Linked DNA regions of Oreochromis niloticus. Each later gene encodes a partner of the first gene's protein in a complex. Links are inferred from orthologs where the notes say so. Each region holds a gene or a part of one and is shown in the gene's direction. Other genes may lie near its edges.

Region 1 (7,909 bases):
CATAGGGGATTGTTGGGTTTTTTTCTTGAATTCAGTTCAGTTCAATTCATTTGTATGTAAATACTGTTGAATTGAATTGAACTCAATTAAAGAAGATTTTTAGGAGACGGCGTCTCTGAGTGAACCAGGTTATTATAACATCTTACCCATAAAAAGTTACGAGTGACCAATCAAATAAAAAATTGGATTTACCAAAACATCTGAAGTGTGAACATTTAATTTTGTCTCATTTAAAACATATTAAAATGTCAAATTACTACAATCATAATAATAACAACATAATAACAGCAGAAATAAAAATGTTTACATCCTTTTTGAAAACATTGTTCTGTGAATGATATCCACTGCATTTGTGCTGTTGATGCCTTTTGAAAGCATTCCTAATAGCATCTATCAAGCAATATGCCTTGCTCAATGGTTCATGGAAGCATGAACAGTTTTGGTAACTGGCTTTGTAAATTGAAATTCTACAGCTTTATACTAGTAAACGCTTGTGCTACATGCGGAAGACAGGTATAGTCAGCTGAGTATCCAGCCATTATTATGAAAGTTTTCTCTTTGGCGTCCACAAATGCAACAGCTCATAACAAAATGGTGCAAACACAGGTGAATCCACGTAAATATACTTTTCATATCTGAAAGTCCTGAAGAGAACAGTGTTATGTAAAAAAGTAGCAAATTAGTTTTTGGTTGAAAATTTCTTTGTTGTAACAATGATTTGGGGCAATAAATCTTACACCATTGGAAAACCTGTTTATTTCCCTTTCAATGGTGACACGGTGGCCTGCTTTCCATCGCTGTAAGAGTTTTAGTGACACGATCCAAAGTGGCCTTTGTGACACTGGTGGAGAGTATGATCAAACTCTGGGAGGCCATGTTCAAGAGGGGGCGAGGAGGAAGCTCCCAGAAGCCCTGTAAGATGCGGGGAACTACCTCTATCACCTCTTGCAGTGAGCAGTTTGGAGCTATGCCGTACCTGCTGCTTCTCTTTAAGAATCTCAACGTAATTTCTCACCATGCTGAGGAGTTTAGTTGTTCTGTAGAAAAATTTTATAAGAATGATCTTTTAAACATGTGTAAAGCATCACAGAAACTGTAGCTGGACTGTTAATAATTGTCAGATGTAACTCACTGAAATTTAGGAGGTATGGACTCTGGAAATGTGGTTCTGGAAAATTTTATTAATGGCATTTACTGCCCACACCTGAAACAGAAAACACATTTACAGTGCAGTTTTGTTTAGATGTTATGTGAACAAAATAAATAAACCTCCAAGTTACTACAAGTCTTGTGAGTTTTCTAGTCTCACTAGTTTCAGAAGAGGTTTGGCTTCTTTGTCTCCAAAATCCCCCAATTCAAACTCCCAAAGCCTTCAAAAGAAAATAAACAGAGGTTTTCTCTCAGCATTTACACTTCATCACAAACAGACTGTCATGTTTGAGGTGGATGGTCAGTATCACAGTTACTCACTGCTCTCTGAGTGTCTGTTTGCTCTTCTCCACCAAAAAATCTCTTAGGTCTTCAGCAGTGATGTGTGATGGGATTTTGCTTTCCTGCTGAAGTCTGAGGAACTCCATCATCATTGCAATCTAAAAATAAAAGGAGACATTTAAACATCACCACTCTCAGGTCCTGAGAAATCACCTGATATTTTACATCAGCTTTGGTTTGGATGGATCTCAGTCTTACCTGAGCCCTGTAGCCCAGAAGATGCCAGCAGATCTTCACAGCCATGTCGTAAATGTGTGTTTGACAGGTGTTGTTCGACATGAACAGCACCTGTCAAAGAAATAAGAAGTTACTGATTGTTACTTAAGTTTATTCTCAGTCTGTCAGCTTTTAAAACTACATCAAATTCTTTAAACTGCTAAAATGCAGAAGGAAAAAAAACTGTCACATACCCTGATGGGTTTGTAGATTCCTCTACTTGCTTCAATTGAAATGTTGTTGTTGAATCACAGTCGGGAACAAAAACTGTCAAATACCATCCAAATTGCGTAAATTGTGTAATGTGAAATGCAGAAAGAAAAAACTCTGAACTCAATGGTTTCTCTTGTACAGATGAGCTATTTTTAAAGTCTGATTAAATTAAATTAAAGTCCGATTTATTTTTATTTTATTTATTTAATGCAGAATTCTAGAACGGTCTCCATGGAAATACTTTATGCAAGTTAAAGGAAAACACTTTATCTACATTACACTAAACTTTATTTATCATATAAGTAGATAAGTGTAGGCTACAGGTGTCCTTAAGTCACTCCTGTGAAAAGATGCATACAAGCTGGTGAATCAGAAAAGACAGAAAGTCACCCTGCAGCATCGTCTTTTTATATTATTTGCCTGCTTATCTCCATTTTCTTACTGTAGATGTGAACATGAGCAGCAAAACAATGGTGGAGGGGACTAATGCATAAATTTGAAGGCTGACAGGATGTAAACTGGCCCTTTAAACAGTCCAGAGGGAGAGACCTCTGTGTAAAGCACAACAACAACAATAATAATAATAATAATAATAATAATAATACCCTAAATAATGAGGTCATTAATTACTAGGATACCTACTGCCATGTTTTCTTAGTTACTGATGTTTAGAGAGGCCACCTTTGTTATGGTTCACAGGAGTTCAGGAGTGAGTGATGAAAGTGATGCTACATTAGGGTCTGTCTCTGGACTGGTGGTTTGCTGCTCTATGAGTTCAGCAGGAGGAGTTGAACCCACAGCGGTTCCCTGGTGGGTAGGAAGATCATACTTCAGGTTCAATATTATAGTTACGTTCTTGATGGTCTGAACCTCAGACAGGAACTGGTCAGGACAACTGACTCAGATTTTTCAAGTTCTGCTACAGAGAGAGAACTAAGACAGCAACACCTACACCTCCTGACCACACAATGTTAATGATTTGTCTTCTCAGTGTTGCCATAATATTTTCGGTTGCTAAATACAGCTAAAAGCAGAAAATTCATTGTTGAAAAATCAATACTAAAGTGCTACATTTTGACAAGTTACCCCAAAAAGTCTACAAAGGTTATTTTCTGTCCACCAAAGTAAATATGATTCAAGAGATTTTTGTAACTTCACTTGTCCAAAAAGCAAATAAAGAGATTAAACAAAGATATACTGAATGACAGTCAGCATTACCAGAGTTAGCAGAGCTACTGTAGCTTGGTTTATAGACTTGAATTAGGAGGGATAAGAAAAGTGAATTCACTTGACTGGAATCTGCAATCTACTGACATCTAATGGTGAGATTTTACAAGCTCTAACTTTAATGATACTTGAACATAGGCCAGGCACGGCATTGCTCTTGCCGAGCCTGTTCAGCCAGCAACACATCTGTGTAATATGTGAATAAAATCAAAACCTGTTCCAATCAAATTTCCCAGTAGAGGTTTTGACCTTTTGTATTGTACTTCTAATTTCTGAAAAATTACTCTAAAGCTTCTTCTAATGCTCCAGAGTCTATTTGGACCATTTGGACATGACAACCATTAACTGAAGTATGAAATTACGTCAGAGCGCATGGAGTCAGAAGTAAATTGCAGTAGATTTTGTCAGTGTCTGTGGCACATAAATTCAACTTACCTCCAAAACTGACAAATACATTCATAATTAGCACACTTCCCATTGTGTGAAGACTGTAGCAAAACGTCTAAAAAAACGTCTAAAAGGGTCTAAAAAAAACCTATTAAAAACTAATTTACCTGCTCATTTGATGTCCCTCTTACATGGTAATTCACTCACTTGCTGAAACTCACACACAGACACACACACAGCAGATGTTTTGCAGATTTTTTTTTTTAATTTGAGATTCTTATGTTTAGACCTTTAAAAAACATAATTCCACTCTTAAAGTGATTTAAAGAATATGAGATTTCAATATTAATTCAGATTTTTTCTGACTCTAAATTTTCTTTGGTCATTACTCAGTTGTTTTTTTTTTCTAATGTACATTTTGAAGATGTTCAGTTACTTTCCAACTTTGAAACTTCGCCGTCTGTGTGAACTTCAGCTTTCAACAGTTCAGCACTTTGGTTTATAGGTGAATGATTTGGTGTATGTCAGTTAAATTTAACAAGGTTCCCAAATATTTCTTATACTGCAATTTCTTCAGGAAATGCATTCTCTAGTTGTAACTGTAAATTTTTTCTTAAAGATTTTTTTTTATCACCTGACTATTCAGCCGATTTCGGACTTTTTATTTTATTTTGTTGAAGACGTTTTTGCTGTAGACGATGATGACGAGCGAGTGACGTTTCACTGCTGCTCTGTCGCTTTAACGGTGAGTGACGGCAATATTGTGCGCCGGTGAAGCACAAATCCGGCGACTGACTTGACCCAGTCCTGTTGCCCAGTGTTTTGGAGTAGTTTAGTGCTGTGAGCTGTGAATTCATGTATACTAAGTCCGTTTTGTTTACTTAAACCACACAGTAGGCTGGTTAGTGTAGTTTTGCGATATTAGGAAGGGGCTTGCTCAAATCAAATCATGGCTTATATTCAGGTTTTGAAGGTCCTGCACCGAAATCTGCAGCACAGAGCACCACAGGTCAGAGTGCTTATCCAGACGCACAGGAGAGTGTCAACATTATCAAGACTGGCCTTACACAGTGGACTAGAGGCTAATTCGCCTGTGCTAAGCTGCTTAATACAAACACACAGACGGCGGGGTATTTGTCTCGACTTTACAGCCAGAAATAAAAGCAGCCCCGAGGACCGAGACAGGTCAGTGTCCAAGTACCAGAGTGGGAGTCCAAAGCCTTCAGCTGCACAAAAAGGTATGCAAGGCAAGGAAATAAAAAGGATTTAAGTCGTGCTAATATATGTACTCAGATATTAGCAGCGTAGTTTCATGATAGCCTGCTATTTTCAAAGCATACCATTAGGCTTTGTTCGCAGGCACTGTGGAGAAAATATAGTATATTTAACCAAGCAGTGATTTATCCCACTGCAGCAGCAGTTTTGGGACTAAAAAATACACGATTATTGTATTTATAGCTTATATCTGGAAATTAATCGCTCTGATTATCACCAGCAGCAGAGGAAATATCTTAAAATGGCCCAGGAGTTTATTTACTGAATAACTGAACAAACACTTGCCTTAATTAGTGAGACTCTAACTTTGCTCATTTAAATGAAAACTATGCACAGCTGTTGCATAATAACCCTCAACACTGAATGCCTTCCAGTGAAAGAAGCTGGCAGGGACTTCACCTACCTGATCGTGGTACTCATCGGGCTTGGAGTGACAGGTGAATACAGTGGAATTTAAAAGCTGCAGTCATAACCCAGGCAATTCATCATCCTGTTTGAAATGACGTCTGTGTGTGTTTTCAGGTGGGCTGCTGTATGTGGTGTTCCAAGAGCTGTTTTCATCCGCGAGTCCAAATAAAGTGTATGGAAGAGCCTTCGATAAAGTCAAGTCACACCCAGAAGTACGAGCGATATTAGTGACTGTCAAACATGAGGCCAGGCTGACAATGTTACAGTTCGGTATTTAAGGTCCTCTTGATGATCTTATGAGGTCATATAAAAAGTTTCTTGTTTATTGAAAATGTAGGTGATTGGTGCATTTGGTGAGCCAATCAAATGTTACGGGGAGACCACCCGTCGAGGAAGGAGGCAGCAAGTCAGGTTGGTGTTTTGTTAATTTGTCAAACAAGTTCAGCAACAAAGCCCACTTTTATTTAAGGTAGCCTTAACATCTATAATGGCAGTCTTTGTCTCTTCTCCTCAGTCATATCGAGTACCTGAAGGATGGAATGAAGCATATGAGACTTAAGTTTTACATTGAGGGCTCGGAGCCGGGAGTGAAGGGGACAGTGCATACAGAGTCTAAAGAGGTTGGTATTCTGCCATTCAAAAGCCAGCTTATGAAATACATACATGCACAAGCACTGATTGACACTTCTGCGGTGAATGTTTTGTGTCTTTTCACTAGCACCTACTCAGCTCGACTCTGCTCTATTCAGTTTCGGTCATTTTCAATCATATTTGAGTACCACCTCGATGTAGGTGGGGTCACTGTAGCAAGGCGACCTGGAAGTCCCATGGCGTTATTTGTATGTGACACAAACACAATGCAAAAAATGGAGATGTGAACCAGCACTGCACTCATCACTCCAGGTTTTGGCATCACTAAATAGGGAGAGCATAATTAGCCAGCCACCCTGCCACTGCCCTCGAGCCCACTGCACCACCCCTCCACACACCTCCTTCACAGGAGGGCATCAAGCCAATTGTTTACCTGCTACCAAACTGACGCTAAAACTCTGGATCTCATCATTGGACCACGCTGTTGGTTTGTGTTCTTATGAAGGAGTTGCTCTCATGACTCACCCAGTGATGTCACTCGCTGCTCAATCAGTGGCTTGCGGTCTATTGATGTCATATTTTCAGCTTGACTCAGCTCGCTTGGAAATCCAGACTAGTAGGTACTCAAAAAGTACCTAGTAACAAGTACTACCAACTAATAGAAAATTGAGTAATTTTCAAATTGAGATAAGCCGAGTAGGTCCTAGTGGAAAAGATGCTTTTGTGGGGCCTACAATGTAACCTACCTATCGTAGGCTCGTTGTTGCCAGCGTTTATGCTTGTGCGGGTGTATTACGGGTAAATTTATGTTGATGTTGTAATTATTATTCCCCATATTGAGGCAGTGATTGTTATTCTCTCACAGTTAAATTGAAAAGCCGTTGCAAAAAAAGTAGCCAAAAATGCACAGAAGAAATCGGCTGTAATGGACAGACCAATCACAGTGGTTGCGGGCTGTGACATGTAGTTAGATTCATGTGCATGTCAGGTTATGTCATAGTTTCAGAGGATTTTGCAGTTACAAAACGGCTTCGATGGGTAGATTTCACACTGAAGCATAAATCCCCAGTAAGTGGCACTGTGTGTATTCCTAAATCTTCACCTAGTTTCATATGTGATGGCCATCACATCGCTGATGTTTTTATATGTGTTTAATCAACCAGTCTTCTTGTTGTTGATTTTACAGAATCCTGAAACTGGAAAATATGAGTTTCGTTATATATTTGTGGACATGGACGTCTACCCAAGACGGACCATTATTGTGGAAGATAACAGATAAGGACCATAAGACGTGTGATTCAGCGTTATGGAAGCATGAGGAGTGTGTGTCAGATGTGCTGCTGGACAGAAAAGCTGGAGAATTTGCCTTCACATACTGTCAGAGGCTGTTAAACAATTACAGCTTTGGTGTAGAGCCTTGCAAAGCAGAGATCAAAGGATCACGTGGCCCCATGCTACTAATTTATAAATGTTTGTTTTTTGACTAGATTGTGATCTTGATTTTGAAATAATATCTTAAATTTGAATACAATAAAACACTTGGGAACAAACATACGACTGAAACAGCGTGTGTGTGTTTTGGACCCTCCCAGGGAAGGAAGTATGTAATAAGTTCTGTTTGTTTGTCTCTTCGTTAGCATTCAAGTGTCCACAGTTTTCAACATATCATTTTCAAATTTTGTGTGATGGTAGATACCAATAGCAGCTTAAGCTGTTTTCATTTTAGTTCACATCAAATGTGAAATTCAGTAAAAACTTTATATTACCCACTATACATTGGCTTCAAACCTCCCAACAATAGATTAGACTCTCATTGGGGGACCTTCATTGTTAGCCCTCCAAGGTCAAAGTTAATCTTTGGACAGGGGGGTGGGAGAATTCAAGGAACTATATTGAGTAATACTTCATATGAAAGGGCATGGACAGAGCTCTACAACACACTTATTAACTTTTTCAGTACAATGCCCTACAGCGTTACAATGACCCCATAAATTTTTACAAACTCACTCACTGCATAACTATATCTTAAAATCTCACGTTTCTACAGCTTTTACAGCCAAAGATTTCAGCCAGTTTTGCTCCAATCATAATGCTTCAAGGT
Region 2 (8,630 bases), on another chromosome or scaffold:
TTTTAATCTGTTAGGATTATACTCAGATCTTTTCTGTCATGATAAGTTTTGTTTCTGTGTTTCGTTTGAAATTAACTTCATATTGTTCTGGCTGCAGTTGTGCTTTCCAACAGCTAACTTTACACAATGCTATCATGTCAAATCAGTCACTTTAAAATCATGTCATCATAAAAGTGCTCAGAATCTTTAGGCGCAGGACAAGAATCTGTTTGCAGATTACTTACAGGTAAATGGTCCTGTTGAAGAGCAAGGCGAGGGATTACTGATTATTGTTATTGCCAAAATATAACCTTGAGTTGGAATAATATTTTTACATTTTATTTGTTCTTTAAAATGTATTTGTTGCAAAAATAATAACAGGACTTCTTACCACAGATATCTGCTGGCTATAGTGGAAGCATTGGTTGTTGTCCTGAGAGGTCGGTCTGCTGACTTAAATCTGACAACCAGACTTCCCAGATTGGGGATTAATTTGATTCTTTTTCCTTTTTGGTTATTAGCAAACATAAATGTCAGAATCTGCTGGCTCTATTCCTGAGTGCTGCCTAGTTGGTATTACTGTAGAATTTCTTCAATGAATGACCCAGCGTTTCTTTTTTCTTTTCTTGTGGCAGATGTGAAGCAGGACATGCTGGAAACTATTGTCCCAAAAAGTGAACATGATTCTGTAATGGTGGTACTGGGTGAGCACAAGGGAAAGGTGAGCAAAGTAACCTCACTGCTTTACATATATATATGTATTTGTTTAAATCTGATTAGCTGTTACTGATCACTATTTTCCCACCTGATTCAGGTTGGCCGTATTCTTCAGCGGGACAAGAACAAGTGCAGAGCGATGGTCCAGCTCGACAGATACGAGGATAAAGTGTTCACATTAGACTATGACTCCATTTGTCACTATGTTGGGGCAGCAGCAGACCACTGATTTCGGATGTTTACTGTAATATTCACTGTCCTTTTTCCATCCACTTCATCCCAGCTGTTTTATTTTTTTTCATTATTCAAGTATTATGGACTTTAAAAGATTTCAATTTTGTAATAAAAACTTGTCAAGATTTTTTTTTCCTTGTACATATGGCAATGCAACAATTGAGAAAAAGCTGCAACAGATCATTTTCACAGTAGTCTTAAGTTTATTATCATGTTCACTGATAGGTCTAGTAACAATGAGAAGTGAACCTTTGGGTCATATAAAAACATATTTACAAATGCTCTACACGGCAGGAGTATGAATAGAGTAGCTGTCCAAAAAGTTCAGCCTTTCATTTCTGACATGTACACATTTCACAATGAAACAAAAGCCTGTCAAACTATGATGTTTAGCATGTGAGCATAATGAAGACCAACTGTAGAGTTGTGGGTTTTAAGATGCTGTCTTCATGGTATCTGCTTTTACTCCTTGGGTAGTTGGTTTGCTGCGTTAGCCCGAAGAACAGCTCCTGGACTCGGGTACGGACGCTGCTGGAAGAGAGGCCCCGCTGCTGTGGTGTCTGCACCCGTTTTTGCTTCATTGCGTTTGGGCAGCCCACTTGACCACGACCCCCTGCAAAAATGAATACGTTTGTGTTTTAACTGCATTTGTAATCAGCACTACAATGTCTTCTGTGGCTGAGAAGGGGTTTTGTCAAGCCTGAGAAAACAACCTTGATCAAATTGCAATGACAATCTCAGCTTTGTTTTAGGAATATTTTTAACAGAAACCCTGGAGGTGTAGATTTTTTTAATAGACATTTTCACAGCAGAGAATTTGGCTCATGGTGGCAGGAAAACTGCAAATGGGGTAAATTTAGTTAATGATGGCTACAGTATGTTGCATTTACAGCAACAATAAGACTGACTGCACATACAAGGGGTATGGAACTAGCGTGCTGAAGTAGTATGGAGCCATTCTTTAAGTTGTTTTTATACCTGTGCTTTCTCTGACATGCCAAGCCAAAATGCTCTTTAAAAAAATAAAGTGTATGGCCCCTTCCCAGTGTTCACACGTTCCCACTCTGAGGGCTGAGAGCTCATAAGGATATGAGGCCTTTCTACAAGTCTTTATTTTATGCTTAAGGGAATAAGTGAGTTGTGATAAAAGCTGGTCAAATTTGGTCAAATATTAAGGAAATGTGCTACAATCCTGTATATATTTTCCTCTTTAGCAGAGCATCTTTTATGAAAATGGGAGGAAACCTAATCCAGTTCACTATGAACATTATGCTACTGCAATAAAATCTGCCTCTTGTTGAGGTATTGTGCCTTGCATGAAATGTAGATTTATGTGAGCTCCGTAAACCAGGGATATCAACTTTGCTGATTACCATTTTGAATTTTGAGGGGACACACTCGAACACTGTAGCTGTGCTGTGTGAGGGTTTAGTTCTTTCGTCTAAGATAAAAATGTATGATGGGAATTGATTTGATCTGTCTCTCATAACTATTTTTTCAACAAGTGCAACACAATGATTCTGGCAAAATCGGAGTACCAGAGAACGACCCGTATATAGCTTATATCAAGGTGACCATCTGTACTGTACCTTGGAGCATCAGAGTAAGCACTTGGATCCATGGGGTCCATCTCGTCATCTTTTCTACCTGTAAAAAATATTAGGTGTTCAATATTTAATCATGTGAAAGGCGCCGATGTGTAAACATGTAATGAATCAGATGTAAACATTACCTTTTTTGCTTCGACTGTATGGTGCTGCCTCATCTCTTCTCTGCTTTCTTCTGTCTCTGTCCCTCCCATCATCACGCTCTCTGTCTCTGTCCCGGTCCCTTTCCCTGTCCCTTTCCCGATCTCGATCCCTTTCCCGATCCCGGTCTCTGTGTCGTTCTCTGTCCCTGTCTCTGTCTGGTTTCTCAACTTGCTTCTCGCCTTTTTCATCTCCTCCTTCTACTAAAAACACAAGTTAAGGCAAGGATCACAAGATTAGCCATGGCTGAAATCTGTCAAAAGCAAACTGTATTCTGAGATTGTACATGCAAAGTAACACACGTCTACTGTAAGAGGACTGAAATTGTGATCATTAGTGCCTCTTGAAAACATTACATTATAGAGGCTGAATAAAAGCATACCTCTTATTTTCTTGGCAGGTTTTGTTATTACTGCAGTTGGGTCATTTGGGGATAACCAGGCAACCATATCTGTCTCGACATTCCAGTAATAAGGTAGACCACTGTGTAAGGAAAATAAAACATTAGTGATTAATATTGTAACCACAAAATTAAATAAAACTTACTTAACAGTTTAAAAATACACTTTAGCTCTCCATGACAGTAGTTATAATGTTCAAGGAGAATTTGACTTCTCAAGAATAAAATGAGAAACAAGAAAGAAAAAGTAATTAGCGCATTCTGATTGTGAAGTTTATAATAATCATTTTGAATTAAAGTATAAAATTCTTATTATATTAAATTATAGTATATTAAGTGTACATACCAAGCAGAGTCAAACACTTTGTACCAGTTTGGTGGTAGATTCTCCACTCTGGTGGCTTCATAATCTACATTGTTGTCATCATAATCTTCAGCAATAATCTCCTCATCTGCCCCTGGATTAATTGAAGGGGAAAAGGTTTTTAAACAGCACAAAACATTAGGAGAAATCCATGAAGGACAGAGACCCAAATATGAAATCTGTTATACTACCTTGCTCTGTTGGTTTAACAATCCCTCTCTTGGCCAATCGGGCCAGCAGTGCTGGAGGTAAAGGCATCCTGAAAGACGGAGTCCATGTGAAACACTGTTCATATTACGGCTGAAATTCACTTGGGGTACCAAAATAACAGTTGCAGAACAAATGCTCATAACACATTATTACACAGTATTAAAATAGTCTTAGATTGGTCATAAATCAGATAATATAATACATATCATTTACTTTCAATAATATGTACCCTTTGATTAATTAGGACATATAGAAACTCATCACTTACACACAAACCACTGAGTCACATGTGGCCATAAAGTAAAATGCACATGATTACCACCATTATATAGTTTAGTGATCTTTAATATAAGCACATTTTGTAACAGTTTCATTACTTTAATGGGTTATTTTATATATTAGACACAAAATTGCAAGTCTGTTAATTTTGTTTTTTTTTAATCATCATTAAGTTTAATATTTTTGGTCCACTATTCATCTCACACTTTACTGAACACTTGGTTTTGAAACAGTTCCCATATTTACCTGTTTTTTATTCTTCATCTTCTTCTTATTATTATCATTATTTTGTTTTGTCCATTTTCTCTGAGGACATTTCTTGTTTTCTGATAAGCGGAGATTATGCCTTTACTGTAATAATTCTATCAACAGCAGCTTTAACACTGCCCAGAACCACATTTTTGCAGCAGACTTGTCACGTCTGTAGACCATCATTTCCTGCAATACATTACAGCTGGCTGTTTTGATGTCGATATCACAATGATATCCATGAATTGTAGTTTAAAGCATGCATCCTGGTAGGTCTTAGAATGACTAAACTCCTGAACTGTTATGTGTCCTGTCATCATTTAAAGTAATCCTCTGCTCATAAAACTTAAAGTAACTTCACAATCCTAATAAATAAATCAGTTTCTTAGGTTATATGGCCATCCTACGTGAATTCCAGGTAAAACTTTACTAGCTCCTTGTCTTATATGTATGTCCATATATGTATTTACATATATACACATACATATATATATATATATGTTTTCTTTGTAATAATTTGTACCATGTACAATACGAAATGTTTCCTTTAACAAGAAACTAACACGCTTGCGGTGCATCCGTGGCTGCAGATGTAAGAATAACGCAATAAACCAAACTATGCGTCTCCAAAAAGCATCCACACCACACAAACACAAATGTTAACCTTTACTTCAAAAGACTGAACAATAAGAAATAATTAAATTCTTACCTTTTTTTAAAAAAAAGGTGGCCCTTTTTTATCGTCAAGCTAACGATACCTCTTTCCAAAACAGCATACACGGCGCGCTTAATGATGACGTAATCACGTCCTCTTGACGAAGACGACGACGTAAACAGACATGGAGGAGTATGCCCGAGAGCCCTGGTAAGATTAGAATTTAAGCGTTTGTTTTTATTTTAGAACTAATTAAGTTGGAGTCAAGTGTTGACTTTTTAATTTCATACTCAGTTTTGATGTGAGAGTGAGCAGAAAGGCTCTGTGGGTGTTGCGGCCTGCTTATTTAAGGCATATAAAAAAGATAAAGCTGTTATATGGAGGCGCCCTCTGCACACACAATAAGCTGGTAGAGTCACCTTTATCTGAAAATGTCGCTGTTTTTAAGTGACAGCTGGAGTTAGGATAGAAATTAAAAATAGTGGGTATTTTAATCTCAAAATATGGTTCCAAACAGGCAGTACATGAAGCTTTATTTATTTATTTATCAAGTTAAGACACACCTCCAGTCAAGGTTGATCCCCTACAAGTCAAACTTTAATGACAGAGTTCAAAGGAACGGGATAAAGAATCCAGATATCAGCCACTTCATTAGGCATACCCGTCCACCTACTTATTAATGTAAACCTACATTCTGTCACTTGGCAACAACTTAGTGCATTTAGACATATGGACATGGTCATGACGCATTGCTGAAGTTCAGGCTGGAGAAGTTCAAACATTTGATTTTTATTGATTTTGAACATCACATGATTGTTTTTGCCAGAATGGCCGATCTTTTCAATATTTTCGAAAATGTTTAACTACAGCCTTTTCCCCACAAAATAATTTCTAGGGTTTTATAGAGAACAGCGTGAAAAAGAGAAAATATCCAGTGAGCAACAGTTATATGGTTGAAAAAGCCTTGTTGATGTCAGAGATCAGATGAGAGTGGTCAGACTGCTTTGAACTGAAGGCAGCAGTAACTCAAATAACCACTCCTTACAACTGAAGTGTGCAGTATAGCATCTCTGAATGGACAACATATCAAACCTGGGCTATGGCAGGAGAATACTAAATTGTCACTTCCCTTCTCCCCACCTCATTAGTTCTTTCACTGCTGTTTGACATATTCATTTATGATGTTTGATATGTTTTCTAACACAAACATAACTCAGAGGTGAGTATTTAGTTATATTTAAGGAGCTAGTTCTTCATCCTTGGGTAATATACATTTCTCGGCCAGAACTGTGCCCATATTGTCTTCGGCGTCATCCAGACCCCGATAGATAACTTCTGCATTTTGTATATGTACTGGATGTTAGTTGTCAGATATATCCCCATTGTCAGTTTTCCTGTCACATAAATATCCATTTCTCTCTTAACCCAGCCCCTGGAGGATAGTGGATGACTGTGGAGGTGCTTTCACAATGGGTGCAATTGGAGGAGGGGTGTTCCAGGCGGTCAAGGGCTTTCGAAATGCCCCTGCTGTGAGTTCAAAACACAGGTTTTTGTTTGTTCTCTGGCTTGTCAGGTTGTTAAAGGCAGAATTCAACTGAGCTCTAATATTTCAGGGTGTCGGACACCGGCTGAAAGGGAGTGCAAAAGCAGTGAGAGTTAGAGCTCCACAGATTGGAGGTAAGGAGTTCCTGTTTTTTGTTACACATGGCAGTTAGTTAGTAATATACCATTTTTTGTGTAGATTAAATTGTTTAGGTACAGTTAGCTTCATACAAGTAGCTGAAGTCTGGTTACTTCTTATGTTGCAGGTAGCTTTGCTGTATGGGGAGGGCTCTTTTCCACAATCGACTGTGGTTTGGTTCGTCTGAGAGGGAAAGAGGATCCTTGGAACTCTATAACCAGTGGTGCGCTGACTGGAGCCATCCTAGCAGCACGCAGTAAGGAGCTCATTAGCTCAAAAGAAACAAGACACCACTGTGTCTCTCTGTGTCAGTAAATACAGCCCCAATTCTGAAAAAGTTGGCACGCTGTGTAAAATGTAAACAAAATTCCAATTTTTTTTACAATTGGGTTTCTACATTGGGATAATTAGTGTGACTCGCTGAATATTGCATTTTTCTTCAGGTGGACCTCTAACAATGATGGGCTCTGCAATGATGGGGGGGATTTTGCTCGCTCTCATTGAGGGTTTTGGGATTCTCCTAACCAGATACACAGCGCAGCAGTTTCAGAACCGTGAGTGAAGTTAATTATGTTTCAGAAATGATATTTAAACTGCACAGAACCAATGGTTTATCAGTAGTTTAGCAAAATGTCACATGATTAAATGTGTGAGTGGTTTTATACCCCTGTACTGGCGTCCACTCCTCAGTTATGGCTGGACTTCGGCATAGGGCAACATTTTTCATCTCACTGGTCCCATTTTTACTCACCCTCACCACACTCGTAGCATTTTTTGTTTCTATCAAAATGTTTTAAAGAACCTGAGGAAAATCGTCCACTCTCTCAAGGTTCTTGTGCAGTTTAATTTGTGTTTCCTGTTTGATTAATTTTTCCCAAGAACACAATTTCTCACAATGTTAATGATATAACAACTTATAAAAAATGCTGAAGAATGTGAGACTATTAAAATAGTTTTTTTAGTGTTACTGTGAATAACCAGTCAAATGTATGAGCATCAGGTTTCCTCCAGCACGGCTCAAGTTAGATAACCTGCTGAGACATATCTTATTTTGGATGAGATGAGCCGAGGGAAGGCTACCAAACCAAAAAGCCTGAAAGCACAGCAGACCTAGACAGTAGTAATATTCATATAAATGTTCCTGAGGGAAACATAGATTATATCTTGATTACATGCCAGTGAAGCATGAAAAACTGACTTTGTTGTGTCTTCTTCCTTGATTTCTCCAGCAATTCCCTTTGCAGACGACCCTAGTCAGTTACCGCCAAAGGATGGAGATCATCAACATCAGGGGCAAAGGGGGCAGTTTCAGTAGAGAAGGTTCAGGACTGAAGCCAGCTGTGGACAACTGAAAGGATAATAGGAATGCCAGCACATGAACAGCATCTACCAGGATGACCAAGAGGTGGAGATACTGGTCCCTACTGGATGCTAATACATACCTCAGGGACAAATTACTGTTTCAGTTATTTATGAGTAAATGTTAATAATTTCCTCATGTTTGCACCACCTGAAAAATCAATGTTTTCAATATTTATTATTATTTTCTTCAATGTGTAGTTCTCAAAACCACATAGTAAGTTAATTTAGTCATTATAGCAACATGTATCTATTAAAATAAATAATTTTCAGCCCATTTGTATTCTTGGAGACACTGCTCAAGGAACCAAATTAGTTTTATCCAAAAACTGCTTTATGCTTCCAAAGATCTTATACTTGGGTTGATTATGTATTTTAATGACTGAAAGGCAGAAAGTTAAAATAAGAAAACTGCACATCTTTAAAGTTTTGCATTAGAAAGATATTTATTCGAATATTAACATTAATATTTATTTACCTGTGAGGTGTTAAAGAGGACATTTGAGTTTATTTTTGTAGAAACTCAGCAAAACTTTTTTTTTTTTTTAGTTTTTGTTGATTATAAGTGTTTGTCTAGTCTGTTGTCTGTGCACCATTTGTCACTTTAATTGCCGCATAAAGCAACAAAGCACTTTTTAAAAACCTGAAAGTCTCTTATTTCCTGAAATTAGCACCATCCACAAAAAAATTCTATCAAATCGATCTGGTTACAAACTGTCAGCAAATATTTATCGTAATAAACGTACTGTGAACAA

Evidence for each region.
Region 2: timm21 (region 1) and timm17b share a complex: the UniProt entries of both Homo sapiens proteins name them as parts of the TIM23 complex. The link is inferred for Oreochromis niloticus from reciprocal best matches to the Homo sapiens genes TIMM21 and TIMM17B.

Annotation. Positions count from the first base shown.
Region 1 is NC_031974.2:20,962,793-20,970,701, forward strand, and holds timm21 (mitochondrial import inner membrane translocase subunit Tim21), read left to right. Parts: upstream 1-4,289; 5' UTR 4,290-4,483; coding exon 4,484-4,772; intron 4,773-5,183; coding exon 5,184-5,246; intron 5,247-5,331; coding exon 5,332-5,429; intron 5,430-5,554; coding exon 5,555-5,628; intron 5,629-5,731; coding exon 5,732-5,837; intron 5,838-6,994; coding exon 6,995-7,087; 3' UTR 7,088-7,358; downstream 7,359-7,909. UniProt on the Homo sapiens protein: Participates in the translocation of transit peptide-containing proteins across the mitochondrial inner membrane.
Region 2 is NC_031984.2:10,674,757-10,683,386, reverse strand, and holds the start of timm17b (mitochondrial import inner membrane translocase subunit Tim17-B), read left to right. Parts: upstream 1-4,959; 5' UTR 4,960-5,019; coding exon 5,020-5,045; intron 5,046-6,264; coding exon 6,265-6,364; intron 6,365-6,448; coding exon 6,449-6,512; intron 6,513-6,643; coding exon 6,644-6,772; intron 6,773-6,959; coding exon 6,960-7,070; intron 7,071-7,745; coding exon 7,746-7,831; 3' UTR 7,832-8,630. Other genes in the region: gpkow (G-patch domain and KOW motifs-containing protein), read left to right, coding at 615-700, 794-925; pqbp1 (polyglutamine-binding protein 1), read right to left, coding at 1,393-1,543, 2,520-2,577, 2,663-2,881, 3,061-3,161, 3,425-3,536, 3,634-3,700. UniProt on the Homo sapiens protein: Essential component of the TIM23 complex, a complex that mediates the translocation of transit peptide-containing proteins across the mitochondrial inner membrane.